Linked DNA regions of Anolis sagrei. The protein of the gene in region 2 purifies or fractionates together with the protein of the main gene of each other region. This does not show direct contact. Links are inferred from orthologs where the notes say so. Each region holds a gene or a part of one and is shown on either strand. Other genes may lie near its edges.

Evidence for each region.
Region 1: the proteins of ACTR3B (region 2) and ARPC2 purify together in Homo sapiens (affinity purification with mass spectrometry; 6 studies listed by BioGRID and IntAct, counting the BioPlex papers as one, with this or other methods). This does not show direct contact. The link is inferred for Anolis sagrei from reciprocal best matches to the Homo sapiens genes ACTR3B and ARPC2.
Region 3: the proteins of ACTR3B (region 2) and ARPC5L purify together in Homo sapiens (affinity purification with mass spectrometry; 3 studies listed by BioGRID and IntAct, counting the BioPlex papers as one, with this or other methods). This does not show direct contact. The link is inferred for Anolis sagrei from reciprocal best matches to the Homo sapiens genes ACTR3B and ARPC5L.
Region 4: the proteins of ACTR3B (region 2) and ARPC3 purify together in Homo sapiens (affinity purification with mass spectrometry; 6 studies listed by BioGRID and IntAct, counting the BioPlex papers as one, with this or other methods). This does not show direct contact. The link is inferred for Anolis sagrei from reciprocal best matches to the Homo sapiens genes ACTR3B and ARPC3.

The regions. Positions count from the first base shown.
Region 1 is NC_090021.1:228,567,086-228,574,846, forward strand, and holds the start of ARPC2 (actin-related protein 2/3 complex subunit 2), read left to right. Parts: upstream 1-4,754; 5' UTR 4,755-4,943; coding exon 4,944-5,017; intron 5,018-5,303; exon of another isoform or gene 5,304-5,479; intron 5,480-7,761. UniProt on the Homo sapiens protein: Actin-binding component of the Arp2/3 complex, a multiprotein complex that mediates actin polymerization upon stimulation by nucleation-promoting factor (NPF).
Region 2 is NC_090026.1:121,572,221-121,579,782, reverse strand, and holds the start of ACTR3B (actin-related protein 3B), read left to right. Parts: upstream 1-4,544; 5' UTR 4,545-4,620; coding exon 4,621-4,664; intron 4,665-7,562. UniProt on the Homo sapiens protein: Plays a role in the organization of the actin cytoskeleton.
Region 3 is NC_090031.1:6,399,376-6,407,180, reverse strand, and holds the start of ARPC5L (actin-related protein 2/3 complex subunit 5-like protein), read left to right. Parts: upstream 1-4,792; 5' UTR 4,793-4,907; coding exon 4,908-5,080; intron 5,081-7,805. Other genes in the region: PPP6C (serine/threonine-protein phosphatase 6 catalytic subunit), read left to right, coding at 52-300. UniProt on the Homo sapiens protein: May function as component of the Arp2/3 complex which is involved in regulation of actin polymerization and together with an activating nucleation-promoting factor (NPF) mediates the formation of branched actin networks.
Region 4 is NC_090034.1:42,367,083-42,375,078, reverse strand, and holds the start of ARPC3 (actin-related protein 2/3 complex subunit 3), read right to left. Parts: upstream 3,016-7,996; 5' UTR 2,866-3,015; coding exon 2,860-2,865; intron 1-2,859. Other genes in the region: GPN3 (GPN-loop GTPase 3), read right to left, coding at 6,801-6,863. UniProt on the Homo sapiens protein: Component of the Arp2/3 complex, a multiprotein complex that mediates actin polymerization upon stimulation by nucleation-promoting factor (NPF).

The DNA.
Region 1 (7,761 bases), on a different chromosome or scaffold from region 2:
TCTCACCAAACTACAACTCCCATGATTCTACAGGATTGAGCCATGGCAGTTAAAGTGGTCTCAAACTGTGTTAATTCTACAGATTAAATGCACTCTTTGTCTGAGTGGGGATTTGAACCCTGGGTCTCCCAAAGTCCTAGACCAGGGGTGTCAAACTCATTCTTATCAGCCTTATGGTTCAAAGGGTCATTGAATCTATGAATGGAGAATTCGTGGATTTTTTACACAGTGGTCAATGCTCTTTAGTTTTTATCTAGTTAGGTGAGGAAATGTAAAATGATCCCACTTAGAAATAAACTTGTCCAGATGGTTCTTTAGTTTGCATGAACAGTAAAAATTACAGATGTATCAGGGCATTTAGGAAATAGATATCACTTTGTATTTTCTGACAGCAGTTTGGCCTCTAAGTGTACTTTTCATTTATTTGCATCAATTTTGTGACAAAAAGACTTAGTATTTATTTTTCTAGTATTGATTCTAACCCTAGGTGGGAAAACATACCAACTGTTTAACTTTGGTTACTTAGAACATGAGATATTACTTTGCCTCCAGTGTATCTTCAATATAAATACTTAACATATGAGATTTTTGTTGTTGTTGCCCTCCCTTTTCTATCTCCCTTAGAAGTCTCCAGATGCAGAATTTTGCTTTTCCACCTTATAAGTGACAAAATGGGAACCTCATCCTCTCATAAAGGATTGTTCCACCATACTATAGACACAATTTCTTATCAGAAGAGCATGTATCATGGGTTAAAGAGGATCAAGGTGAAAGAGTGACATGTAAAGGATGAACCAAAAGTTACAAAGGGGGTTCAATATTTAATGACTTCTTTATTTTTGTTTTTAATTTACAACACCATATTGTATATGATGTATAGCATCATATACAGTATATATAAGAAATACATTTACATGAGGTGTGAAAAATCAAGTCTCATAAATGGTGTCCAATATCATAGCAATATATACAGTGTATCTATGACCCTTTCGTGGCTTGTAGCCCACCCTGTTCTATTAAACACCAACAAAACACAGCCAGATTGCCATAGGACCTTCTTAACCTTTTCATATTTTTGTACTATTCTTTGCCACTTGCGGAGGTTTATTAAGGAAATGAATGTTGCCTCTTATAAAAGAAGCAATATCCATGCTTTGTCCATTTATTTATATAGCCCAACAGCAACACACATGGTACTCCAATACCTGGCCTTTGCCCAGAGGAGCTGACACTCTGAACTTTGATGCAGGAAAGATAGTAAAAAGAAGGGAATAGCTGCATGTGCTAAAGCTTAGTCACAGTTATTAGGCTACATAGAAAAACCTGGGTTTTTACGATACAATGTAAACAGCCAAAGTCACACTCAGGCCCCCATCTATACTGACAATTTCATGCAGTTTCAAACAACTATTGAAGAAAGTGGTTTTGGTGTGCAGATGATCACATAGGAAATCCTGGAAAACCTTTGAGGCCAGGATGGTGATTACACAAACCAGAGAGCTCCGAGTAAGGGCTTTCTTTCGCACACCTTTTGTGGGTGTTTGTTGTCTGGCTGCCAGTTTGAAGCGAACTGTGATCTGCATTAAATGGTCATTGTAGATGGGGCCACAGTTTCACTGAAAATACAATCAATGTGGTACATTTTGTTAGGACCGCAAAACTGAGGGTCAAAAAAGCATATTTTTAATGTGTGGTTTTATAGGAATTTGACGCTCTTAATTTTAAAAATGACCTCAGATCTGCTCCATCCCTTACTTTCCCCCCAAAATGCTTTGATGTACTTTGTTGAAAAATGTAAATGAAATTAGTATTCAAATCATCACAGACTGAGCATCCCTTATCTGGAATCTTATCTGGGGTACTTTGTGCTTTTCCTGCATGGCAGAGGGTTGGACTAGATGTTCCACGTGGTCTCTTCAAACTCTACTATTCTATGAATGTGTTAATTCTGAAATTCTTCAAAATCAAAAGTTATCCACATGCGTTGTCGAGATAGTAACCCCTTTGCTTTCTGATGGTTCAATGGACACCTATATTTGTTCCTGCACAAAAGTATTTTAAAAATTGTGTATATAATTACCTTTCGGTTATATGTGTATTGTGTATATATGAAACATAAAATGAAGTTCATGTTTCTACTTGGGTCCCATCTCCAAGACTTCTCATTACATATACAAATACAGGTATTTCAAAAACTGAAAAAACACTTCTGGTCATTTTGCATAAGAGCCAATCAACCTGTATCAGAGTTAGACAGGTCTGAGGGATTTCAGATATGGGGAATAACATGGGATTCCCACCTCAGTTGTAATGGTGCTATTTCCCAGCATCCTCAAACAACCAAACATGAAACAAAACTTCTCAGATTTCAAGTACAGTACTTCAAAACATTTAGCTGTTCATGCCATACTTAAGCCCCATCTACACTGACCCATTAATACAATTTAAAGCTAGCTTCAAACTGCAGAAGTCTGACAACAAACTCCCACAAAAGGCTTGCAAAAGAAAGCCCCTTTAATGCACATCAGTGTTCTGTAGTTTGACTAATCTCCTGTCATCATCTGAGCAGCAAAACCACTTTATTACCAGTTTGCAACTGCATTAAATGGTCAGTGTAGATCAGGCCTTAGGGATGCATTTGGAAGTTCACACTTCAGCTTCTAAATTTGCGGTTAACCATGAAATTAGATTTTTTTAAAAAAGAAATAAATGTTTGTTGTGTTTTTCAAATACAGTACTACAATCCTGATGAAAAAAAATGTGCTTTTGCCCATGACAGGCCTTACTTTATAAACTAACCCCAAGTGCATGGTATTAAAATGCAAAGCAACATTATGTAGCAACAGGAATGAGCCGAGGCCACATCAACACAGGACTTTGATCAGGCATGGGTAAACTTTGGCCCTCCAAGTGTTTTGGACTTAAACTACCACGATTCCTAACAGCCTACCAGCTGTTAGAAATTGTGAGAGTTGAAGTTCAAAACACCTGGAGGACTGGAGTTTGCCCATGCCTGGCTTAGAGAACAAGGAATCAAATGTTATGCTGTAAAATGAATGCAGTTTTGCACCAGTTTAACTAGTGGGAGTATGTATTTATTTATTTATCGTGTCAGAAGTGGATTAAGGGTACAGTTATAATGTACTCAAAAAGACACAGTTAAAAACTTGGCATTATGCCAGATTTCCTTTGACCAGAAGCTGGCCACTTGGATTGCCTCTGATGTGGCTACAAGAAGGTCCTCCATTATGCATATGGGAGGCTCAGGTAGCATTGTAGTAGATCATCTGTGGTTTGCTCTTCTCCACACTCACATGTCGTGGACTCCACCTTGTGTTGGCTCTGCACCTTGTGGTGCCAGTCTGTTCAGTGCCTTCCAAGTCACCCAGTCTTCAGTATGCCCAAGAGGGAGTTTCTTATCTGGAATCAGCCACTGATTGAGATGCTGGGTTTTATGCTGCCACTTTTGGACTCTCGCTTGCTGAGGTGTTCCTGCGAGTATCTCTGTAGTTCTTAGGAAGCTGTTTCTTGGTTTGAGGCATTGGCATGCTGGCTGATATCCCAACAGAGGTGGGATGAAGATGTCACTGCCTTGGTCCTCTCATTATTGGCTGCTTCTTCCCAGAGGATGTCAGGTGATGCAATACCGGCCAAGCAGTGCAATTTCTCCAGCGATGTTGGGTGTAGACATCCTGTGATGATGCGGCATGTCTCATTAAGAACCAGGTCTACTGTTTTAACGTGGTGAGATCTGCTCCATACTAGGGGTTGTTTTTTTTTTTTAATTGCGTCAGGAGCAACTTAAGAAACTGCAAGTCGCTTCTGGTACGAGAGAATTGGCTGTCTGCAAGGACGTTGCCCAGGGGACGCCCGGATGATTTGATGTTTTTATCATCCTTGTGGGAGGCTTCTCTCATGTCCCCGCATGAGGAGCTGGAGCTGATAGAGGGAGCTCATCCGCCTCTCCCCGGATTCGAACCTGGGTCTTCAGTCCTGCCAGCACAGGGGTTTAACCCACAGCGCCACCGGGGGCTCTACTGCCAGGGAAACTGTGGAATCCTAGTTTGGTGAGGAACTAGCACTCTTAAGTAGAGAAGGCCTAGCACCTTGTACAACTACAAATCCTATCATTCCATGGCATTGAGCCATGGCAACTACAGTATTGCCAAACTGGATTAATTCTAGTGTAGATGCGCCCAAAAATAAATAAATAAATAAGCTCGAGGGCAACAGAGAATCGGAAGAGCTTCCGCCCCGCCCCCCTCGAGCGCATGAGCACGTGCCTGGCAAGCCAGTGTCCGCGAACGAGGCACATCTGGCGGCGCGTGCGAAGCCACAGGGAGGCCGCAACCAATGGGAGTCCGAGCTCCAAACCAGCTTCGAACGTTAGCCTTGGCCAACGCGCGCGCGGAAGAACTGGCTAAAGCACGCCTGGGCAAATCTGAGCCTTCCCTTTAGGTGTTTTGGGCTTCAACGGCCACCATTCGTAACAGCCTCAGGCCCTTTCCTTTTCCCCCTCAGCCGCTTAAGTGGAAAAGGGAAAGGCCTGAGGCTCTTAGGAATGGTGGCCGTTGAAGCCCAAAACACCTGCAGGGAGGGCCCAAGTTGACCAGGCCTAGGCTAAAAGGAAGAAGCCTTCCCCGCCTGCTTGGCATGCCTGCCAGCCGCGCATGCGCGCTGCTTTCCTCTTCCTCCCTCCCCCTTCCCTTCACGCCACTGCCTTTCCCACGTCCAGGATGTGACGCAGGGTGCCGGCTCGGCGCGGAGGTGGGTGGGGCCCCCGTGGCGGAAGCGGCTGGACTCGGGCGGGTCCCCGGTGCGGCGCGCTTCTCGGCTAGGTGGTGTCTTCTCCCCCCCTCCCCTGCCCCCCGCTCCTCCTCCTCTTCCTCCTTCTTCCCCGCCCGGCTTCCGTACCCCTTCCTCACCTCGGAGCAGCCGTCGCCATGATCCTGCTGGAGGTCAATAACCGCATCGTCGAGGAGACGCTGGCGCTCAAGTTCGAGGGCGCGGCCGCTGGGTGAGGAAGGAAGGAAGGCAGGGGCGGCGGGCGGGTGGGAGGAGTGGTGGCGGCGATGGGAGGAAGGGCGGGGTGGGGCAGGCGTTAGGACAGGGCAGCGAGGCCTACTCGCCTCACTACCTTCTTCTTCTTCTCCCCCCCCCCCCCCCCGCTTGCCCTGCGTTGCCCTCCCCACTGTTTATTCATGTATTTGCATGGCTGACGACTCCAACGTAGGGTTCACCCTTCAGCCTTCTTCCTTTTGGGCAAGTGGGTGTGGGCGGCGGGCCTCCACTTCCTCTCTCACCTTCTGGCGCTTGGGCGCTTCCGGAGCCTCCCTGCGAGGCCCCTAAGTGACTCAGGAGGTTCAGGCTGCTGCTGCCTATCCTCCCACCTCCAAGCTGTCAGGACGGATCTGTGCTTCGGGAGCTTTTGACATCACGTAGTCCTCCTTCAGATCGGGGAGGGGTGCCCTTTTTCCCACTTAGGAATGCAGTTTCACACCGCTTGGAAGTGCCAGGGCCCAGTGCTGTGGTATCACAGGAGGTGTGGCTTTACAGTAGTGGTTCTTAACCTGTGAGTCCCCAGATGTTTTGGCCTTCAACTCCAAGAAATCCTAACAGCTGGTAAACTGGTTGGGAATTGTGGGAGTTGTAGGCCAAAACACCTGGGGACTCACAGGTTGATAACCTCTGTTCTACATACTGAACACTCACATACGCAATGTATTGCCAAAGGCTTTGTTTCTTCCATATGCCTCTTTTATGGGGATATGAAGAGATCTGGTCATTTCTGTGCAATGTATTCCTGGTTAGTCAGTGGAACAGATCACATGAAGGCCCCTTTTCATTTTCTTCAGGGTCCCTTCAACATTAGGTCTGTGCTCTCCACCATCATCTTCCCCTTTCTACTCCTCTAAAGCAGTGCTACTCAACAAGTTGTTCCATGGTCCAATCCTGATCTATGAACCATCTGCACCTGGTCCCTTCTGTTCCCACAGGTTGAGAACCACTGCTATACAGGGTCTTTAGCCTTCCCTGCCAAAGAATGCTGGTGTCACACTAAACTATAAATCCTAGGATTCCATGGCATAAAATCATGGCAATTCAAGTGTTTTTTTGTTTTGTTTTATTCTATTTTTTGTTGGGTAAGAAGCGACTTGAGAAATTGCAAGTCACTTCTGGAGTGAGACATGGCCCAGAGCATGCCCAGATGTTTTACCACCCTGTGGGAGGCTTGTCTCAGGTCCCCGCATGGGAAACTCCCGTCTCACAGACCCGAACCGCTGACCTTCAGATCAGCAGTTCAGCCAGCACAAGGGTTTAGCCCATTGCGCCACCACGGCTTATGCTGTATTAATTCTACAAGTAGATGCAGTCTTGAAGGGTTTAATTGCTGGTTGCCTTCGGGTAACTACAATTTGGAATATTTGGGAGAAGAATTAGGATTTCTTTTCCACATTTTTGATTGCTTGCATATATATTTATGAGATATACTGTAAAAGGACCCATTTCCAATCATGAAATTCATTTCCAATACACATAGCCTGAAAATACAATACTGTATTTTATGTAATTTTGCACATGAAACAATGTTTGTGTCCATCAGAAAACAAAGGTATCACAACCTCAGCCACCCATGTGGACACTTTTGGATTTTGGAGGGTTTCAGGTTTTGGTATTTAAGATACGGGATGCACAGCCTGTGTAGGCTTTTTGGATAGAAGATACCAAGCCAATTGCACCGTGTGTTGCCACTTCCCTAAAGTGCTGCTGTTATTCTTCCTCTTGCCACTCACCAGGAAGTGTCGCTTTCACAGATAGCTGAATTGCAGGCCCTGGCTTTTTGATCAGGGTGTGTTCAGTACATATTTCAAGTACAGGTAAAATTATTTGAAAGTGTTTGAGAAGATAAGCATTCTTACTGCTGTCTGAGAAAGAGAACAGTAAACTCATGCACTTGGAGAAAGGACAGGTAGAGAAAGGGGTGGAGCTCCCATTGGGAAAAATTGAACAAGTGCTTATTAGAGTCTGCAGAAAGAACTGCACAATTATGCTGACAATATTTTTCCCATTGTATATGTTTAACTTGCTGTAAAGGTACGAATTATGGAGCCTTCTGGCTGTTGGGCTAAAAGTCCTAGCAGTAATAATCAACATAATCACTCAGAGAGGAATGCTGGTACTTGCAAACCAATATCATGATAGGGCTGATGTTGAACACTGGATGGTGCTTTCCTCAGACAAAAGGGACCTGTTTCTTATCTTTGACAAGTGACTTATATGGGTTGTATTTTTTTCTAGACTTCTACTTTTCTGTTTCATACTTTTCTGTTTCTACATATCTCCTAGCCGTTTCAAGTAAAAGGAGTCTGTTTTATGTATTTTGTATGTATTCATCCTGCTTGAGATCCATCTATTTCAACATTTTTGAACATTCCCCACAAATAGAGGCCTTCAGCAGGTCATTTCGAAACTGGAACCCATTCTATTTTCTGTGCATTCCTCAAATGTTGTTGTATGTCTTCAAGACATTTCAGACTTATGGTGACCCTAAAGCATAGTCAGTTTGCACAACACACTGTATCCTATCATATGATTTTCTTGGGGGGGGGGGATAGTGGAAAGGGGGTTACGTATGAATTTTTAGTCTCTTTTTTGTTAAATTATTAAAATATATATTTGGTAAAAGTCACATATGAGGAAAAGTGGTTATGTTATACTCATTTGCCCCAAATTGAATAAATAAATAATATGGTTTTCTTG
Region 2 (7,562 bases):
CCGCTTTGAATCCCCCTGGGGTGAGAAAAGTAAAAGTAAATGTTTCCTCTTGACATTAAGTCTAGTCGTGTCTGACTCTGGGGAGTGGTGCTCATTTCCATTTCTAAGCCAAAGAGCCGGCATTGTCCATAGACACCTCCAAGGTCATGTTGCCGGCATGACTGCATGGAGTGCTATTACCTTGCTGCTGGAGTGGTACCTATTGATCTACTCACATTTGCATGTTTTCGAACTGCTAGGTTGGCAGAAGCTGGGGCTCACAGCAGGAGCTCACCCTGCTCCCTGGATTCAAACCACTAACCTTTCGGTCAGCAAGTTCAGCAGCTCAGCAGCTCACTGAGGGCACCAAGATGTAGATAAGGACAGTGAAAATGATCAAAAGACTGGAGTAAAAGCTGTGTGAAAATGGTGACTAAGGGGATATGTTTTAGAGGTACGAGGGTTGAATGAAAAGTAATGCCTCCACTTTCGTAACTTCTCAACAGATGGCATTACTGGTATGCAGCAGGTGCTGGCTTGTTCAGTAGACTCTCCTCTACACTTCCATTTTTGTGGGAAGCCTTAGTATTGAACGGTTGTGTTGTTAAAGTGCAAAATATGGAACCCTGCGCAGACGGTCAGTCAATGCGACTTAAGCAACGTGCAGTCATTGAATTCTTGACAGCAGAAGGTGTCACCTCAAAGGAGATTAATCAGCGAATGCAAGCTGTTTATGGTGATTGTTTTGATGGGAGTACTGTGCATCATTGGGCGAGTAAGTTTAAAGATGTCGAGGTGGGAACCTCTGACTTGTGTGACAAACAAAGGGTTGGGACGTCCTGTGACAGCAACCACCAAATTTCACAAGCAACAGGGTGACAGATTGATTCAGGACGATCATCGTATCACTCAGAGAGAAATTTCAAGCATAATCAGCATTTCACAAGAACGTGTGGGTCACATTATTACTTTGCTTGGCTATCGGAAAATCTGTGCACGATGGGTTGCGGAAACAAAGTGTCAACTTCTTCCGTGACGGCTTCAGAAAACTTGCTCATCGTTGGCAGAAATGTATCCAATTGTTTGTTGAAAAGTGAATAGTGGTAGTTAAAGAGGATGATTTCTGCGTTTGATTTATTAAAATATTCCCATCCAAACCCAAGTAATGAAGGTGGAGGCATTACTTTTCATTCAACCCTTGTATATAAAATTAAGTGCAGCAAGGAGAAAGTGGATAGAAGACTGCACCGATTCTTATTATAACCTGTCATATGTTGACATGCATGGGTTAGTTCTTGGACAGATGAGAGGAAGGATTCCTTCACAGAGTGATGTTACGAAAAAATTGCAAGTTTAAGGAAAAAAAAGTCTTGCTGAACCAACATATGTTCACTGTCTCCTTTATTGGTGATGTTCATGCAATATGTTGCTTGTGTAGCCCAAACAATGCCACCTCCAGACAAGCGGGAAATATCAACAGGCATAGGGATTATTTTGTGAATCCCCCGCTAAGGAGGGAAGGGGCCAAAATAGGAAAAAATCCCAAAATAAGCTTGTGAAGATGGGGCGCATCCATTAGCCTGGAATGGCAATGCATTATTAGAGGCAATATACAGGCAGTCCCCAAGTTACGAACAAGACAGCTTCTGTAGCTTTGTTCTTAAGTTGAATTTGTATGTAAGTCGGGACAGGTACATTTTTATAGTGGTAACTCCAGCCATATGTGTGTGTGTGTACACGCGCACACATTTAGGGTCCTGTCTACACAACCATATAACGCAGTCTGAAATGACATATGGCCAGTGTAGGCTCTTATAAGTCTCCCAAGGGCTGAGAAAAGCAGTATATAAATGAAGTAAATAATAATAATAATAATAATAATAATAATAATAAATTATAATGCAGTTCAATGCAGTTAAACTGCATTATATGAGTCTACACCGATCATTTAATGCAGTTTCAAACTGCATTAAATGGCAATGTAAATGGAGCCACGGTCAGAGCAGGAATGGAGAATCATGTACAAGGAAGGAACCAAGGCCTCTTTTGTACTGTCTCAATCCAGATTATCTGCTTTGAACTGGTTTATATGAGTCTACACTGCCATATAATCCTGTTAAAAGGAGACAATCTGGATTTTTATGGCTGTATTGAAGCCCCTTGTACAATGCCATTTAATCCAGATGATCTACTTTGAACAGGATTTTATGAGTCTAAGCTGCCGTATAATCCAGTTTAAACCAGATAATCTGGATTGTATATGGCAGTATAGAATTGGCCTCAGATCCCTTGTAAAATGCCATATAATCCAAATTATCTGCTTTGAACTGGATTATATGAGTCTCCACTACTACACAATCCAGTTTATCTTCTTTGAACTGGATTATATGCGTCTCCACTTCCATTTAATACAATTGATCAAATCAAATAATCCAAATTATCTGCTTTGAACTGGATTATAAGAGTCTCCACTGCCATATAATACAGTTGATCAAATCAGGTAATCCAGTTTATCTGCTTTGAACTGGATTATATGAGTCTCTATTGCCATATAATCCAAATGATCGAATCAATCCAAATTATCTGTTTGAACTGGACTATATGAGTCTCTGTGTAGGTTCAGCTGTACCAGGAGCTCCAATTTTGTTTGCTTTGCATTGAATGTTTGTTGTAGTCCTAAGTTTCAGGGACTCTGCAGATTGGTGGCTTCTTTTGGCTGCAATCATAGGGCAAGCCACCTGTCAATTATTGTTAGGTTCTCTGGTCCCGCCCCCTTTTTGGGTTTTGGAGGGAATAGGAGCCAATTTGGGTTCAGACCACACAGAGAAGCTTTTCATGCAGGACATAATATCAAGAGTTCCTGTAGAAAGCTTCGTCTTCCACGGCTTGGCCGTGGGTTATACAGCCCACAGCTTGGCCGAGGATCATACAGCCCTACAGCTCCTTTGCTGAGGGACTTCAGCCAGCCATCACTGAAACCTGAACTCCTTTTCCCCTGGGGGTCCACAAAGCTCTGCTTGGTAAGGGTCACTCGCGGAAGCCAGAAGCAGTTAGTACCGGGTGCAGGGGCTCCACGCCAACAGAAGCAAAGACAGACTGCCCAGATTAGAAGTTAAGGATTTCCCCATTAGTTACTATACAGTTATGAAGATAGTGCCTGTTCCCTGTGGACAAGATTGAGAGAGAGCCAATAGACTGTTAAGAAAGCCTTAAAGTACCTGTTTGTTTTCAATAATAAAGAACTTTTGTTGAACCTTTAAGCAATCTAAAGACTCTGTTTTAAGGCAATCCAAAGGCCTTTAATCTGAGGCATCCCCGGCATCCCGTTGGGCACATAGAATTTATGTCCTGTCTACAGTCTTATTGTTGGGGTTCAGCCTGATCTGTGTGAACCTGATCTGTGTGAACCTGATTCTCTGATAGTATTTCCAACTGAGCAAGCCACTGAACATGTAGTTTTCCCTGACAATGTGGAAACTGGTGTTAATGCTGAGTTCAGCGGCGGGGAAAACGAAACTGAACAGCTGGATGAAAACGTTTTGGAATCCAGCTGTGATAGCTCTCCACCTGGCTTTTTCAATGAGGACTGAAGGGAACAGATAATGAGAGACAGGAGTGATTCACAATTCCTACGAAGGTCAAATAGATTACAGGAGAGACAGGCTCAGGCTTCAAAATCAAGGGGCGTTTCAAGGAATAGTTTCTTTGGTATAAGGGGCCGCATGCCGGGTGCCTCCTTAGAGCAAGCATCGTTTGGGACCGGCTATGCCTTGGCAGAATTCCTGTGTTCCATGGCCGGTAATCCCAGAGGCTTCTAGTTTTTCAAGTACATGGCTAGCGAGAGGCTAACAGGTTCCTGGTTCTTGTCTTATTTTTTTTTTTGGACTTTTGCTCAAGTTCAGAGATTTTCCTGACTGCTGTGTTTCTATGGTGGCTTTTTGACTTTGCATTTAACTTTCTTTTGTAACCAATTTTCATCTATAATAAAGGATTGTTTTTCCTACAGTCCAGTGTGGTGTATTTAATCTTATGGTCTCGTTTCTTGGTCTGGGATGCAACACTTATGCACAGGCCCAGTGTGTGACAGCACAGTCTCCATTGCCATATACTCCAGATTATCCAATCAGGTAATCCAGATGATCTGCTTTGGACTGGATTATATGGGTCTACACTGACAGATTATATGGCAGCGTGGAAGGAACCAAAGTATGCAACATTGTAGATTTAACATAGTTTGACACTATGGAAGCCCGGGGTTTTGCAATGAGGTGCCACCTTTGGGCAGAGAGATACTCAATGCAGACTATGTTTCCCTGGCAATTAAAGCGTGGTCGCAATTCCCTCTTACTAGCAACTCCAGGCGTTGCTAGGCGACCACGGCTGCCCAATGGGAAGGCAAAGCGGGCAAAGCCTGAGCAGCACGCTCTCCCAAAATGCCCGCCAGGGGGCCGGATGTTTATGTCCTTGTGGACCACGTGACGCCCGGGGAGGGGCGTGGCTGCAGAAAGCAGCATGGGTTTGGCGCAGGCGTGTTGCGGTCGGAGCTGTCAGCTCGGCGGGGAAGCGGAGGAGGAGGGGGCGCCTCGGCGGGACTTCCCTTTCCTCCCTTTTCCTCGGGCCTTTTCCCCTCGCAGCCCGGAAATGGCCGGCCTCATGCCCCCCTGCGTCGTAGACGCCGGCACCGGGTGAGAGGGACCTGCCTTCGCCCCTCTCTCCTCCTCCTTTCTCTTCATTCACCTCCTTTTCCTCTTTCATCTCTTCATTTCTCCCTCTTTCACTTCCTCCACCTCCTCTTCTTCCTTCAGCTCTTCCTCTTTCACTTCCTCTTCTTCCTTTACTTCTCCTTCACTTCATCCTACTCCTTTTCCTCTTTCATCTCCTCATTTTTCCATCTTTCACTTCCTCTTCTTTACTTCTTCCTCCACCTTCTCTTCTTCCTTCAGCTCTTCCTCTTTCACTTCCTTTACTTCTCTTTCACTTTCTCCTTCTCCTTTCCTCTTTCATCTCCTCATTTTCCCCTCTTTCACTTCCTCTTCTTCCTTTACTTCTCTTTCACTTCCTCCTACTCCTTTTCCTCTTTCATCTCCTCATTTTCCCTCTTTCACTTCCTCTTCTTCCTTCACTTCTTCCTCCACCTTCTCTTCTTCCTTCAGCTCTTCCTCTTTCACTTCCTTTTCTTCCTTTACTTCTCTTTCACTTCCTCCTACTCTTTTTCCTCTTTCATCTCCTCCTTTTTCCCTCTTTCACTTCCACTTCTTCCTTCACTTCTTCCTCCACCTCCTCTTCTTCCTTCAGCTCTTCCTCTTCTTCCTTTACTTCTCTTTCACTTCCTCCTACTCCTTTTCCTCTTTCACTTCTTCTTCCTTCACTTCTTCCTCCACCTCCTCTTCTTCCTTCAGCTCTTCCTCTTTCACTTCCTCTTCTTCCTTTACTTCTCTTTCACTTCCTCCTCCTTTTCCTCTTTCATCTCCTCATTTTTCCCTCTTTCACTTCCTCCACCTCCTCTTCTTCCTTCAGCTCTTTCTCTTTCACTTCCTCTTCTTCCTTTACTTCTCTTTCACTTCCTCCTACTCCTTTTCCTTTCATCTCCTCCTTTTTCCCTCTTTCACTTCCTCTTCTTCCTCCACTTCTTCCCCATCTTCTCTTCTTCCTTCAGCTCTTCCTCTTTCACTTCCTCTTCTTCCTTTACTTCTCTTTCACTTCCTCTTCTTCCTTCACTTCTTCCTCCCACTCCTCTTCTTCCTTTACCTTGTCTTCTTTCACTTTCTTTTCTTCCTTTACTTCTTTTTCACTCCCTCCTACTCATTTTCCTCTTTCATCTCCTCATTTTCCCTCTTTAACTTCCTCTTTTGCCTTCACTTCTTCCTCCACCTTCTCTTCTTCCTTCACCCCGTCCTCTTTCACTTCCTCTTCTTCCTTTACTTTTCTTTCACTTCCTCCTACTCCTTTTCCTCTTTCATCTCCTCATTTTTCCCTCTTTCACTTCCTCTTCTTCCTTCACTTCTTCCACCTTCTCTTCTTCCTTCAGCTCTTCCTCTTTCATTTCCTCTTCTTCCTTTACTTCTCTTTCACTTCCTCCTACTCCTTTTCCTCTTTCATCTCCTCATTTTCCCCTCTTTCACTTCCTCTTCTTCCTTCACTTCTTCCTCCACCTCCTTCCTTCACCTTTCCTTTTTCTCCTGTTCCTCCATCTCCTTCTTTTCCTCCTACAACATCTACTCTTCCTCCTGCACCTCCTTCTCCTCTTCCTCCTTCACCTCTTTCACTGCTTCTTCTTCTCCTCATCCACCCTCTCCTCTTCCTTTTCCTCTTCCTTTCTTCCTTTACCACTTCTTTCTCCTTCAACTTTTCTTCCTCCCTCTCCCGTTGTCCTGCTTCACCTCTTCTACTTCCTTCTTCCTCATCTTCTTTCTTCACTGCCTCCACATCTTTCTCCTCTTTCTGCTTCATCTTTTTCTCTTTCATCTCCCTTTCCTCTTTCTCCTGTTCCATTTCCTTCTTTTCCTCCTACAACACCTACTCTTCCTCCTGCACCACCTCCTCCTCTTCCTTTTCCTTCTTCACCACTTCCTCCCCTCTTCCTTCTTCACCTCTTTCACTGCTTCCTCCTCCTCATCACCCTCTCCTCTTCCTTTTTCTTTCTTCCTTTACCACTTCATCTTCCTCCTTCAACTCTTCTTCTTCCCTCTCCACGTGTCCAGTTTCACTTCTTCCACTTCCTTCTTCCTCATCTTCTTTGCCTCCACATCTTTCTCCTCTTCTTGCTTCATGTTTTTCTCCTTCATTTCCCTTTCCTCTTTCTTCTGTTCCTCCATCTCATTCTTTTCCTCCTACAACACCTACTCTTTCTCCTGCACCTCCTCCTCTTCCTTTTCCTCCTTCACTGCTTCCTCCCCTCTTCCTCCTTCACCTCTTTCACTGCTTCCTCTTCTTCTCCTCATTCATCCTTTCCTCTTCCTTTTCCATTTGCTTGCTTTCCTGCTAAAGTCTAACGGATTAGAGAGCTGCGCCAAAACTAACTCTCTGCTATGTAAGAAGGAGATATATAAGATACTTCATCTAGTCTTCATACAAACAAACAAAAGACATGGTTTTCTTCAAATCTGGGGTTCTAAAACAAAAAAAAACACAACAAAAAACCTTCAGATTTGCTCAATAATATGCATTATTTCCCACAATTCCTTTTGTTGTTTGATGTTATAAGGTATGATTGATGTTGTAAGATATAATTGCATAAAATTAGTGTTGTAGGCAGGAAATATTTTTCTCTTATTGCTCTGTATATGCGATGTCAGTCACCAGATGTAAGCTATCCTGGTTTCAGTCAAGACCTATGCCAATAATATCTGCATGTATTTCACTGGTGAATCCAAAATAGATTTGGCAACGGCTTCATTCTTTCATTAATACTTATCCTATATGACTTATAGACATGTCTAGGGTACAATCAGAATATTTTTACAATAATTTCTTACGTGATCCAATAATTATGCTTCTTTTAATATCTACTAAGCAGCCTGATTGTTTCAACACCACTTATGGTTGTATAAATCTCATCTTACGAGTTCCCCTAGTGATCACTT
Region 3 (7,805 bases), on a different chromosome or scaffold from region 2:
TTGCTGCAATTTCCCATGGTCTCTGCCACAAGTCTTTTCAAATCCTTCCAGTTTGTGCACATCAACAACCTAAAGCTCATCTGCCGGGCCCACCAGCTGGTCCACGAAGGCTACAAGTTCATGTTCGATGAGAAGCTGGTGACGGTGTGGTCGGCCCCCAACTACTGCTACCGCTGCGGCAACATCGCCTCCATCATGGTCTTCAAGGACGTCAACACGCGAGAGCCCAAGCTCTTCCGCGCCGTCCCCGACTCCGAGCGCGTCATCCCCCCGAGGACCACCACGCCGTATTTCCTCTGAGACCCTCCTCCCATATTTCCCTTCTTCTCTTTCTGTGTGACATACTTTTTATTGAGCACTTTGCTGCTGAAATGCTGCCTCTTGCCTTGTTCTTTTTTATTTTTAAATTATATCTAAATGTGTTGTACATTGTCGTCAGTGACGCGTCTCTTTTCGACCTCCCTCTGCGCAGAATAACAAAAAGCTATTTCCCTTTCCAAGAGTGCTCAGAGCACTTCGCTGTTTTATAATGCTTCTCGATTTCTCTCCATTTTGTTCTGTTTTGATTTCCCTCCCTTTTCCAATAAAATACAAACCGAGCCAGAACTAGTCCGATCTCCTTATTCCACGCGAATATTTATCTTGAGGATAGAGTTTTAAAGAAATTTCAGCAGCAAAGTGGTATTTATGTGCGGCAATGGGACTTTCTAAGTCCATCTAGATATATACGAGGGAACGGTCGTGCTTTATATTTTGCTTTGAGCAGATAGAAATAAGTGGGTTTGAAAAAAGGATGTCGCTTATTTCGTTTTTCCTGTCCCTCGAAGACTTGTTTTTTTTTATGTTTTAGGGTTCCAAGAAAAAGCAAAACACGCTACAGGTATTTGGATTTGTACATTAAAATAATTGCTCTGATTTTTCTCTCAGATACCTTGTATTTTTAATAAAGTCGTATCCAGAAACCCGTGCCTCTGGGTTAAAACGTTGGAAATAAAAACATATGTTGTTGATGGGAATGTCATGGCTTTTCATTTCAAAATTGAGCCATTATTATTATTGTTATTATTAACAAAGATGTATTATTGTTGTTATTATTAACAAAGATATATATTACTTAATACTGGGAAAGGGAAACGCTGCACATTACAAGTGGTGAACCTGACTCAGCACACAGACCAGGGCAAATGCTTGATGTGTCCACTGGAGGGTGGCAAAGGATTACACGTAAAAGTCCTGGGCAGATAGATGGCTATAAAGCTTCAATGGAGGGTCAGAATACCGGGGGGGGGGGGGGGGGGGCGCAAAGCTCGATGTGGAGGCGGGCAAAGGATTGCACATAGGAGTCCTAGGCCAATAGGTGCCTCTGAGGGTTGAATGGAGGAGCCGCTCTCAAACGTAAGTTCTAGGTCTGGATAAGGATTCCACTGTATATAGGCTTCAGGGATACATTCAATAAGAAAAATCATACAAACACAGTAAGCATTTAGTCATGAGGCTCTATGTAGACTGAAGACAATAATGAAGATGGAGCACCACTCTCAAAACAATCTTCATGGAAAAAATCCAAATCAAGTCCAGTGAAAGCACTGCTTCTCAAAATAAGTCTTCAAAGGAAAAGTCCAAATAGCATTCAACAGGGGTGCCCGGGTATTTTTGTACCCTGTTTCGGGGAAAGCAATCCCCTTCCTCAGGAGTTGATAAAGTCAGCAACTCTAGACTCTTATCAATAATAAGAGCCTAGAGTTACTATATTACTCTTATCTATAATAAGAGTAATATAGATATGTCCACTGGTCACCTTATATCTATTTATATATTATTATTTCAGGTTGTTATTCTATATACATAGATGTATATATGCACACATAGTGACCAGAGGACTTATTATTATTATTATTATTATTATTATGTCCACTGGTCACCTTATATCTATGTATTATTTCACGTTCTTATTAATTATATAGTGAGCAGAGGGCTCTATTATTATTATTATTATTATTATTATTATTATTATTATTACTATAATTACTACCATATGCCAGCAAATATGGAAAACACAAGAATGGCCATCAGACTGGAAAAAATCAACTTATATCCCCATACCAAAAAAGGGAAATGCGAAAGACTGCTCAAACTTCCGTACAGTGGCCCTTATTTCTCATCATGCCAGTAAGGTAATGCTCAAGATCCTGCAAGGAAGACTCCAGCAATACATGGAGCGAGAGTTGCCAGATGTTCAAGCTGGGTTTAGAAAAGGCAGAGGAACGAGAGACCAGATTGCCAATATCCGCTGGATAATGGAGAAAGGCAGGGAGTTTCAGAAAAACATCTACTTCTGCTTCATTGACTATTCTAAAGCCTTTGACTGTGTGGATCATAATAAATTGTGGCAAGTTCTTGGTGGGATGGGCATCCCAAGCCCCCTTCCCTCTCTCCTGATGAATCTGTACAAGGACCAAGTAGCAACATTCAGAACTGACCACGGAACAACAGACTGGTTCAAGATTGGGAAAGGCGTTCGGCAAGGCTGCATCCTCTCACCCAACCTTTTTAACTTGTATGCAGAACACATCCTGCGATGTGCGGGGCTGGATGAATGCAAGGCTGGGGTGAAAATTGCTGGAAGAAACATTAACAACCTCAGATATGCAGATGACACCACTCTGATGGCCGAAAGCGAGGAGGAGCTGAGGAGCCTTCTAATCAAGGTGAAAGAAGAAAGCGCAAAAGCCGGGTTGCAGCTAAACATCAAAAAAACCAAGATTATGGCAACAAGAATGATTGACAACTGGGAAATAGAGGGAGAAAATGTGGAGGCTGCGACAGACTTTGTATTTCTAGGTGCAAAGATTACTGCAGATGCAGACTGTGGCCAGGAAATCAGAAGACGCTTACTTCTTGGGAGGAGAGCAATGTCCAATCTCGATAAAATAGTAAAGAGTAGAGACATCAGACTGGCAACAAAGATCCGCCTAGTCAAAGCCATGGTCTTCCCTGTAGTCACCTACGGATGTGAGAGCTGGACCTTAGGGAAGGCTGAGCGAAGGAAGAGAGATGCTTTTGAACTGTGGTGCTGGAGGAAAGTGCTGAGAGTGCCTTGGACTGCGAGAAGATCCAACTAGTCCATCCTCCAGGAAATAAAGCCCGACTGCTCATTGGAGGGAAGGAGACTAGAGACAAAGTTGAAGTACTTTGGCCACATCATGAGGAGACAGGAAAGCCTAGAGAAGACAGTTATGCTGGGGAAGGTGGAAGGTGAAAGGAAGAGGGGCCGACCAAGGGCAAGATGGATGGATGGCATCCTTGAAGTGACTGGACTGACCTTGAAGGAGCTGGGGGTGGTGACGGCCGACAGGGAGCTCTGGCGTGGGCTGGTCCATGAGGTCACGAAGAGTCAGAGGCGACTGAACGAATAAACAACAACAACAACATAATTACTACTTTACTATAAATATACTAATATAATATATATTACTATTATATCATATTATTAATATTACTAATATTGTGATTATTAAGTTCTCTGGTCACCATATATATATATATATATTCCTATTATATCATATTAATATTATGATTATTAAGTTCTCTGTTCATATATATATAATTATTACTATTATATTAATATTACTAATATCATTATTAAGTTCTCTGGTCACCATATATATATTATATTACTATTATATTATATTATTAATATTACTAATATTGTGATTATTATTAAGTTCTCTGGTCACCATATATATAATATTACTATTATATTATATCATATTATTAATATTATTATGATTATTAAGTTCTCTGGTCACCATATATATATATATATATATATATATATATATATATAAAATTATTACTAATATATAATGTCATATTAATATTACTAATATTATGATTATTAAGTTCTCTGGTCACCATATATATATAATATTACAATTATATCATATTAATATTACTAATATTGTGATTATTATTAAGTTCTCTGGTCACCATATATATATATATATATTACTATTATATTATTAATATTAGTAATATTATCATTATTAAGTTCTCTGGTCACCATATATATATATATATAACTATTATATCATATTATTAATATGATTATTAAGCTCTGTTCGTATGTGTGTATATATATATATATTATTATTACTATTATATCATATTATTAATATTACTAATATGATTATTAAGTTCTCTGGTCACCATATATATATTACTATTATATTATATTATATTATATTATAACGGTGCTCCGTGCAGTCATGCCGGCCACATGACCTTGGAGGTGTCTATGGATAACGCTGGCTCTTCGGCTTAGAAATGGAGATGAGCATCAACCCCCAGAGTTAAACATGACTGGACTTAATGTCAGGGGACTAACTTTACCTTTTATTATATTATTTATATTACTAATATTATGATTATTATTAAGTTCTCTGGTCACCATATATATATATTCCTATTATATCATATTATTATGATTATTAAGTTCTCTGTTCATATATATATAAATTATTATTATTATAAAATTATTATTATTACTATTGTATTATATCATATTAATATTGCTAATATTAAAGTTATTATGAGTAATGATAGTAATAGTTCACTGTAGTAAATATTCACCAACCTGCCTTAGAAATGAGAAGCAAGTGGTTGGATTAGGCAAGGCGTGCTGAGGTCACGTGGCTGGGAAGCCCCACCCACTTCTCCCCAGGCTTTGGCCGCGCCCATCCTTTCCCGATTGGCTCTCCCTCTCGCCCCCTCCCCGGCGGGCGGGGTTTCCGTTTCCGGGGAGAATCACCACAGAAGGTCGGTGGCAGCCGAGAGGGAAGGAGGTGCCGCTTTCTCCTCCTCGTCTTCCCTCAGAGGGAAAGGCCTTCCCGAGCAGGCCCCTGGCCATGGCGCGGAACTCGCTCTCCTCTCGCTTCCGGCGCCTCGACATCGACCAGTTCGACGAGAACCGCTTCGTGGAGGAGGCCGACGGGGCCGAGGCCGGGAGCGGGGCCTTGGGGGCGGCCGAGGACGAAGGCGGAGGAGGGCTGCGCGCCGAGGTGGAGGCCGCCCTCAGGCAATATCCTTCTTCCCTTTGGGAGCCGGGTAGAATCGGGCAGGGATGGGCCAAGTTGGTACCTCAGGGTGTTTTGGACTTCAACTCCCACAATTCCTGGCCTCAGCCCTCTTCTTTTTCCCCTTCAGCCACCATGTATATTATATATCAATATGGTGACCAGGGAACTTAATAATAGCCGTAATATTAGTAATATTAATAATTAGAATATGATATAATATAATATAATAGTATTGGTATAATTATTATAATAGCAATTATCGTAATAATATTAGAGCCCTCTGCTCACTATATAATTAATAAGAACCTGAAATAATAAATAGATATAAGTGACCAGTGGACATAATAATAATAATAATAATAAGTCCTCTTGTCACTATGTTTGTATATATACAGCTATGTATATATAATAACAACCTGAAGTAATAATATATAAATAGATATAAGGTGACCACTGGACATAATAATAAGTCACTATATACATATATACACACACACATCTATCTGTATATAAGAACTACCTGAAATAATAATATATAAATAGATATAAGGAGACCAGTGGACATCATAATAATAATGATGATGAGTCCTCTGGTCACTATACACACACACACACACACACACATATCTATCTGTATATAAGAACTACCAGAAATAATAATATACAAATAGATATAAGGTGACCAGTGGACATAATAATAATAAGTCCTCTGGTCACTATGTGTGTATATATACATCTATGTATATAATAACAACCTGAAATAATATATAAATAGATATAAGGTGACCAGTGGACATAATAATAAGTCTTCTGGTCACTCTCTATATACGCACACACACACATACACACACACACACACATCTATCTATATAATAACTACCTGAAATAATAATATATAAATAGTTATGAGCTGACCAGTGGACATAATAATAATAATAATGTCTTCTGGTCACTCTGTCTCTATACACACACATACACACATATCTATCTATATAATAACCTGAAATAATAATATATAAATAGATATAAGGTGACCAGTGGACAGAAGAAGAAGAAGAAGAAAGAAGTAGTAGTCGTCATCGTCGTCTTCTGGTCACTATATATACACACACACACACACACACATCTATCTATATATAATAACTACCTGAAATCATAATATATAAATATATATAAGGTGACCACTGAGCATAAAAATAATAATGAGAACAATGGAATAGACTCATAGAAGCCTAAAGTTGGAAGGGACCCCTCGGCCATCTAGTCCAACCCCCAGCCAGGCAGGAAAAGCACAATCAAAACACCCCTGACAGATGGCCATCCAGCCCCTGTTTCAAAGTTCCCAAGGAAGGAGCTTCTACCAGACTCGGAGGCAGAGAGTTCCACTGTTGAACAGCTCTTACACTCAGGAAGTTCTTCCTAATGTTCAGGTGGAATATCCTCTCCTGTCATTTGAACCCATTGCGTCCACAAGCCTGCTCCCTCTTCCTCAGGACACGCTTTCACATGTTTATCCATGGTTCTCATGTCTCCTCTCAGCCTTCTCTTCTGCAGGATAAACAGACCCAGCTCTTTGGGACACTCCTCATAGGGATTATTCATGGTCTCCAGATCCTTTTAGTTGCCTTCCTCTGGACACCTTCCAGCTTGTCAATATCTCTCTTTAATTGTGGTGCCTAGAATTGTACACAGTGTGATTCCAGGGAAAGAGGTTTAACCAAAGCTGAATAGAGAGGCAGTATGACTTCCCTTCATGTCCTCTGTTTTGTGTGTTTTAGTATGTATTTTGTAGAGGCGCCTTTTGTTGTTTAACTTTTGCGGAAGTACATTTTCCTGTGTGTATTTGTACTGTTGTTGTTTTTGCTGCGTTATGTATTTATTTTAATGATTCTTAACTGGGAATGTTTTAAAATACGATTTCTATTTAATCTTGTTTTCATGTTGGTATATTTGTGTATTTTAAATGGCTATGCTGGAGCTTTTATTTGCTGAGTTCCCTTTGGGGGAAATAAAGTGGGGTAATAATAATAATAATAATAATTCACACCATCAGAGATTTGTAGTTTCTCAATTTGCTTCACACACGATATAATAATAATAATAATAATTATTATTATTATTATTATTTAATTATTTTGTAATAATAATAAATCTTTATATCCCACCTTTCTCCCTCACGTGACCCAAAGTGGCTTACAATATATTAAAATAATGTAAACAACAATCCATATACATTGATAATAAGTATAAAATGTCATAAAATAAGCAGTTTAAAATAATAATATACATTCATATTCTTGCAACCTGGCTCAAGCCACGAGGAGAGGTGGGTAAGAAATAAAATTATTATTATTACAATAGAGTCTCGTTTATCTAACCTTTGCTCACCTAACGTTCTGTATTATCCAACGCAGTCTACCCCTTACCCGCAGAAGCGGCACCTATTGATCTACTCACATTTTTGAACTGCTAGGTTGGCAGGAGCTGAGGCTAACAGCTAGAGCTTTTCTTTTCTACATTTATTTATTTATTTATTTTATTTTAACTATTTTGAGTGTGGGGCAAAGTTTTTGTGCATTGAACCATCAAAAAGCAAAGGTGTCTCTTAGCCAATCATTTGGACAGTTTTGGATGAGGCATGCTCAACCTTTTTTGAAGAGGTTTTGACCTTGGAGAGCAGCCATCGAGTATTACATTCACAAGGGAAATGAATGGGCTGAATCACTG
Region 4 (7,996 bases), on a different chromosome or scaffold from region 2:
AAAGGACAAAGGCAATGACATCTCTGGCCCATCCCCTGTTTGGATATCAGCCAACATGCAAACACCTTAAATCAAGAAATAGTTTTCGAAGATCTACAGAGATACTCGCAGGAACACCTCAGCAAGCAAGAGTCCAAAAGTGGCAGGCTAAAATCCATGGCTGATACCAAAGGAGAGACTCCCTTCTGGGCACACAGAAGACTGGGCGACTTGGAAGGCGCTGAACAGACTGTGCTCCTGAACCACGAGAGGCAGAGCCAACCTTAAGAAATGGGGCCACAAAATGGAGTCCACGACATGTGAGTGTGGAGAAGAGAAAACCACAGACCACCTATTACAATGCAGTCTGAGCCCTGCCACATGCACAATGGAGGACCTTCTCATAGCAACACCAAGGGCACTCCAAGTGGCCAGGTACTGGTCAAAGGACATTCATATACTGCCAAGATTCTAAATTGTGTGTGTGTGTGTGTTTATAAATACATTACAATGGTACCCTTGGTTTGCTCCTGATATGATAAATAAAATTATAATATTTACATGTCGTAGATTTTAAATTGCATAGTTTTGTCAAGTTGTGACCCGCCTGGCGTCTCAGTCAAGAGATAAAAGCAGGAAATAATAATAACAATAATAATAATAATAATAATAATACCACCAGGAAACAACAAGGGATATGTTCATTTCTTACGACTGATTTGTATGATTAATTCTATTCTAATATGTATGCATTGTAGATTTTAAATTGCATTGATTTTTCATGCTGTGAGCTGCCTGGCATCTCGGTCAAGAGATAAAAGCAGGAAATAATAGCAATAATAATAATATTTATAATTGTTATTATTTGAAGAAGCACCACAGAGCTATTACTTAGCTCTATTGGACTGCCATGGCTCAATGAGATTGGATCCTGGGAGTTATAGTTTGAAAACTGGGGTAGCTTTCCCTGCCAAAGAGGGCTGCTGTCTCATCAAATTAGAAACCCCAGAATTCCATAGCTTTGAGCCATGGCAGTTCAAGTAGCACCAAACTAGATTATTTCCACAGTGTAGATGCACCCAAAGCCAGTGCCTGAAATGCAAGATGTTGGTAGACTGTGACTCCCATCTTCTCAAGTCAAGAGACAATATTTTACCAGGTCAAGAAAGACAATCTTCTCAAGCCAGGCATATATCCAGCCACTTCAACTCCTCTGTGCCTCTATTTCGGCTATTACCAGCCGATCAAGTGGATTCAGGCCATTCATCTTAAGGAGCAAATGCAAGAGCAAAGCAAAGTCATCTCTATTATTTTTTCTTTTTTTTTTTTTGAAAAAAAATACTCCAATTAATTCTGCCATTTGTGGCAAGACTTCAAAACAATTTAGAGTAATGATGACTCTAATAAATAAGAAGAAAAGACTCTAGGTACATAAGTACAATAAAGCGATACTCGAAAAAGGATGTACAAAGGAAATGGGGAAAGGAGAGCCAGATAAGCCTCGGACTGGAGTCAGAAACACAGAAAGACAAGACAAGCTGATGCCACAACCAAGAAGGCGCTGCATTACCATCACAATGGAAGGCACTTCAAAACCAATTTTCCAAGAAGACTCAATATAAGAGAATTACAAGGGGTGCTGGGGTATCGAGTCAGATTTTTTGTTCAAAGCCAATTTTGCCATAGCCTTTTAGTAATAACACCTAACACAGAAAAATCTCGAGTTCGACACTTCTTGGAGTGCCATGGCTGAGTGTGACGGGATCCTGGGAGTTGTAGTTTTCCAAGGCCTGCCAAAGAGGGTGGCTGACTCTCCAAACTACGCCTCCCAGGCTCAAGTGGTCTCAAACCACATCCATCCCACAGTGGAGATCCATCAAGTGCTGCGGGATTCGGGTTCGAATCCTCCCATTGTTTGGTTTCCCCCCCAAAATCAGCCTTGCCTGACAGCCAGTGTCGCCTGACTTCCCTCTTGAAACCATATAAGGAAGTTTCCCCCGCGGCTGACATTTGAAGTCCCAGCCTTTTGGGACAGACCCGAAACAACAGCCTTTGGGGACAGGTGGCCTTGGGGACAGCAGCTCCCATCATCCCCAGCTGTTTTCAAGATCCGAAATCCCCAAGCTGGTCACTGGGTACATTACTAAAAGAAACCTTTTTACCCATCTCTCAATATAATATAATATAAATTATATTATAACAATATATTATAATAATATAATATAACAATAATATAATATAATAGGGGAGGGGAAAGGCTTTATGGATGGATTTGGAGGCATAAAATGTTGGGATCTGTATTTGTCAGTGTTCAAATAAGCGGATGCAAACCAGTTTGGGGAAAATTGTAGAGACACCAAAAAAAAAAAGGAAAGCAACAAATCCACTATCTATTTCTCTCTATATACACATACATACATACACACAAATACAAATAGAGAGGTCTGTAGTTTCGACCTATAATGTATGTTGTCTAGCTTGACATGCAATGGTTGTGAAGCATGTCTGAGTGTATGTATAAACAGGGACTGCTATTGTATATTTATTTGTGCCCTTTTTGTGTTCAGAAAAGTAATTTAAAATATTGGGGGGGGGGGGCAGAAAGTCCCAAGCTGGGGGGAAATAGACCTGGGAAAGAGAAGTCTGTTGGGTGCTACAGAAGTCCTACCAACCCAAAAAATCATCCTCACCCTCACCCCAACCTTGCTTCCAGCAGGGCAGCCATTGGGCAGGCTCCCATCTCGCTCCCGTCTGGGCCCCTTTGGGTCTGAAGCTAGTGGCTCTCTTGGGCCAGTTGGGAGTCCCAGCATCCACCTCCACCTCCACCCCCAAGCGATGGGACTTGAGATCCCCAAGGATCCATCCCCCCCTGCCCCTTACCGGCATTTTGGGAAGCACTTGATGGGAGCCGGAGAGGACAGGCTCTTCCTTCTCAGCCCGCCAGGCAGCCAAACGCGCCCTCCTCCCTTCCTGCCTGCCAGCCTTCCTTCCTCTTCCACCCAAAGCAGGAAGGGCGGGGCCCGGCAGGAGCGGAGGCAGTGGCTTCGTTGGTCAGGAGGGGGCGCCCGAGAGCAAGGCCCACGAAGAGGCCCGCTGGCTTTCAGCGCCGCGTGGAGTTCCCTGGCTCCCTGGGACTTGTAGTTCCCCAAGGTCTCGAGTCTCCTCTGCCCAAAGGGAGCTTCTCCAATAGCAAATGTACAGTTTGACCACTTCAATAGCCCTGGCTCAGTTCCCTGGGAGTTGTAGTCCCCCAAGGTCTCGAGCCTCCTCTGCCCAAAGGGAGCTTCTCCAATAGCAAATGTACAGTTTGACCACTTCAGCCCTGGTTCATTGCTCTGAGTTGTAGTTTCCCAAGGTCTTGAGCCTCCTCTGCCCAAAAGGAGCTTCTACAAGAGCAAATTTACAGTTTGACCACTTCAACTGCCCTGGCTCTGTGCTTTGGAAGCTGTAGTTCCCCAAGGTCTTGAGACTCCTCTGCCCAAACCACTTCAGCCCAGGCTCTGTGCTCTGGGAGTTGTAGTTCCCCAAGGTCTCAAGCCTCCTCTGCCCACATCACTTCAATGGCCCAGCCTCTGTGCTCTGAGAGTTGTAGTTCCCCAAGGCCTCGAGCCTCCTCTGCCCAAAGGGAGCTTCTGCAATAGCAAATGTACAGTTTGACCACTTCAACAGCACTGGCTCAGTGCTCTGGGAGTTGTAGTTCCCCAAGGTCTCGAGCCTCCTCTACCCAAAGGGAGCTTCTGCAATAGCAAATTTACAGTTTGACCCTTGCCTTCCCACTGAATTGGTACCTATTGATCTACTCACTCTTGCATGTTTTCAAACTGCTAGGTTGGCAGAATCTAGACCTAACAGTGGAAGCTCACCCCGCTCCCTGGATTCAAACCGCCAACCATTTGTTCAGCAAGTTCAGCAGCTCAGTGGATTAACCCTCTGCGTAATCAGGAGCCCCACAGCACTCCATGCTGTCATGCTGGCTGCATAACCCTTGAGGTGTGTACGGACAACACCAGCTCTTTGGCTTAAAAATGGAGATGAGACCACTCCCAGATTTGGACACGACTAGACTTAATGTCAGGATAAACCTTTACCTTTAACAGTTTGACTATTTCAACAGCCTCTAGGAGTTGTAGTTTCCTAAGGTCCCGAGCCTCCTCTGCCCAAAGGGACCTTCTACAGTGGTGAATTAACACAGTTTAACAACTTCAACTGTCTTGGCTCAGTGCTCTGCAAACCTGGGAGTTATAGTTTCCAAAGTATTGTCGAGGACACCCCCCCCCTCCCCCTTGAGCAAAATATTGATATAGTTGGCACCGCAGCGAGGAGTTCCACAGGTGACGGGAGCTCTTTTAGTTTCAAAAATCAATTTTTGCGAATGATCAGCGGTCTGGAGGAGGTTAGCAGCAGCTACCAGTGCCCAGGAGACTTATCTGCAGCCTTCTCCCCCACCCCCCACCCCCCATATGATTAGTTATCTTGTCGTTTACCCTTCAGTAAAAGGGTTATCCTTAGCTTTTGCTTCCTTGTCTTTTCTTTCGCTCTACTGAGTCTTTTCTTTCCACTCCCGCATTTCACAGCCGGCCCAGCAGCCGCTTGGGCCACATGGCCCACTTGGCCCCCATGGCCTCCCCAGCCCTGGAATCAATGCTCTCCTCGTCTCGAAGCTCCCTTTGGGCAGAGGAGGCTTGAGACCTTGGGAAACTACAACTACCAGGTTTGCAGAGCACTGAGGCAAGACATTTTAGCCGGTCAAACTGTGTTAATTCAGTATTGTAAGAGCTTCCTTTGGCAGAGGAGGCTCAAGACCTTGGGAAACGACAACACCCAGAGCACTGAGCCAGGGCTGTTGAAGTGGTCAAATTGTGTTAATTCGCTATTGTAGAAGCTCCCTCTGGGCAGAGGAGGCTTGTGAACTTTTGAAATAGAGCAATTTAAATGGCCGCAGATAATGTGATCCAGGCCATGGATAGGGAAACCTGAAGCACTGATACCAAAGTGGCCACAGAATTAATCAATCAGTCTAGTATAGAGTTTGTGTATTGTTTCTTGTTTCAATACAAATCTTCTATCTATACATATGATAAAATTGATGTGTATGTGGCAGGGGTGTCCCCTTACACACACAGCCTCCCAATTTAACCCACAGTGCTGAGGAGCCACTCAAAGCACTCCTTCCAAGGACATTTCAGGTTATGGTGGGTGCCATGAACATGTCTCCCAACCCCTGCCAATGTTCTCCACAAACACCATACTGCCTACCACCCAAGTTAAGGCTTCAATTTGGGGACAATTTCATCCTAGATGTTGTTTTTTTCCTCCAGAATGGACATCCCAGGGTTCCTTACTTTTTCCATTGCTGTGGAATTTGCATGACCATGCCCACTTTCTCTCCCTTATCCCTTTCCTATGGCACACAGCAAACAGCAACTGAACAAGAGGTTTTGGGGGAAATTGACCTTGATTTATAGCAGCCGTAGTTCACCTGCATCCAGAGCATTGTGAACCCAACCAACAATGGATCTGGACCCACTTGGCATGGATGATGGGATTTGTAGTTCCTTTACTAAGTTCCTGAGATCACTGCGGCCCGACTAATGATGGATCTGGACCAAACTTGCCACACAGACCCCTCCATGACCCACTTTACATCCTGGTGCGGTTTGCAGAAGGATGGACCACGGATGATTGGATTTACAGTACCTTCATCCACTTCCACAGACCACTGCAACCCTCACGAATGACGGGCCTGGACCAAACTTGGGACACAAAACCCCCATGACCAACAGAACATACTGTAAGAGTTTGGGGGAGGACTAACCTACCCGTGTGGGAGTTGTATTTCACCCTGCACCCAGAGAGCATTCTGAAGCCCCCAATGGCAGATCTGGAACACATGTGCTGCACAAAACCCTGAGGACCAACGAAACATAATGGAGGGGCTGGGGGTGTGTGCATATAGAGCACTCTGAACCCCATCCATAATGGATCTGGACCACAAACTTGGCACATAGACCCAATATGTCCAACTGTGAATACAGGCAGAGTTTGGGAGTGATTGCCCTGGGAATCTGGGAGTTGTAATTCACCTGCATCCAGAGAAACAGTGACCCCACCAACAATGGACCGGGACCAAACTTACCACAGAGAAACCCCATGACCAAGTGAACATACTACAGGAGTTTGTGGGAATTAACCTTGATTTTGAGATTTGTAGTTCACCTGCATCCAGAGAGCACTGAACCCAGCCAACATTGGATCTGGACCATACAGGCCTGTTTTGGGGAGGACTGACCAACAGTTTTGGGTATTGTAGTTTACCCACATCCTTATGCATTTTCTAATGGGGGCATTAATAAAAAAACAAATAAAAACTGGCTTTTTTCTAATAAATAGTGTTACTAATTAACTAAATGATACTACCTAACACCCCAAAAACAAACAATGCCTTGTTGCTTGTTGGCAACACATTCACCCTCCTTACCTTAGACTGAATCAGAGCAAAGGACAGCAATGCTGAACAAGTTAACACACTCAAGTGACAATGGCAACGCAGCCTTTTCTGTATTTGCTTCCGCCACCTGAGCTAACAAAAGCACACCAAGAAACAGATAGGAAGACCAGATACTCTCATGTTTATTATTGCCAAGGAAGCAATCAAACAATGAAATAACACAATAATTTATCTCTCAGTATGTACAGTAAACTCTCCAAGGGGGGAAAAAGTCTATGGGGCAGATCCCTCTGGGGATCTCTTTGCCTTGGCTGCATTTGATGTTTGATGCATTTGATCTTGATACCTTTCCTCAAAATGGATCCCAATCTTGTCACTCATCCACTCGCTCTTGGAAGAACTCATCAAAAGTGGAAGGTTTATTCTCCTCATTTTCCTGTGGAGGGAAAAGGATAGGAAGGATTACAGCAAACTGCATTCTTCAAGAAGGCAAAATTATTCAAAGTGTAGGGTGCATCTCTCCACTGTAGAATTAAAGCAGTTTCGGCACGACTTTCAGTGTTATGGCTCAAGGCTGTGGAATCCTGGGAGTCGTAGTATGATGAGGTCCCAGCACTCTCGTAGAAAATGCAAAGCTGCAATTCCCATGATTCCACAGTATTGAGCCATGACAGTTAAAGCAGCATAAAACTGTATTATTATTATTATTATTATTATTATTATTATTATTATTAGAAACACAACAAGATGAGTCCACAGCAGACATTCTGCTGGCTGTTGTATTGGATCACACGTTGGACACTTCCCAAGTGTCTAGGACTGTGTATCGACGAATAATGTGTGCAAATCCCAGAAGGATGGCCTTTTGCAGCTGGCAGATAGTAATTTTGTCAGCCCCAATTGTGTTTAAGTGCAGGCCAAGGTCTTTAGGCACTGCACCCAGTGTGCAGTGTGCACCACTGGGACCACCTTGACTGGCTTGTGCCAGAGTCTTTGCAGTTTGATCTTTAAATCCTCATATCGTGTCAGCTTTTCCAGTTGTTTCTCTTCAATCCTGCTGTCACCTGGGATTGCAACATCAATAATCCACACTTTTTTAACATGATCATGAGGTCAGGAGTATTATGCTCCAAAACTCTGTCTGTCTGAATTCGGAAGTCCCAGAGTAGCTTGATGTGTAATTTTTTCAGGCTTGTGATCCCACCAGTTCTTTGTTGCAGGCAGATGGTATTTGTGGCACAAGTTCCAATGAATCATCTGAGCAACAGTGCTTTGCCTCTGCTTGTAGTCTGTCTGCGCGATCTTCTTGCAGCAGCTGAGGATGTGATCTATTGTTTCATCTGCTTCCTTGCAGAGTCTACATTTGGGATCTGTCGTCGACTTTTCAATTCTGGCTTTGATGGCATTAGTTCGAATGACTTGTTCTTGGGCTGCCAGAATCAGGTCCTCCTTTGTCTCCTTTTTCAGAGTTCCATTTGTGAGCCACATGCACGTTTTTTCTTTGTCAATTTGGCTCTCAATCTTTGCCAGAAACTGTCCATGGACAGTTTTTTGCCATTTTCGCTTCTG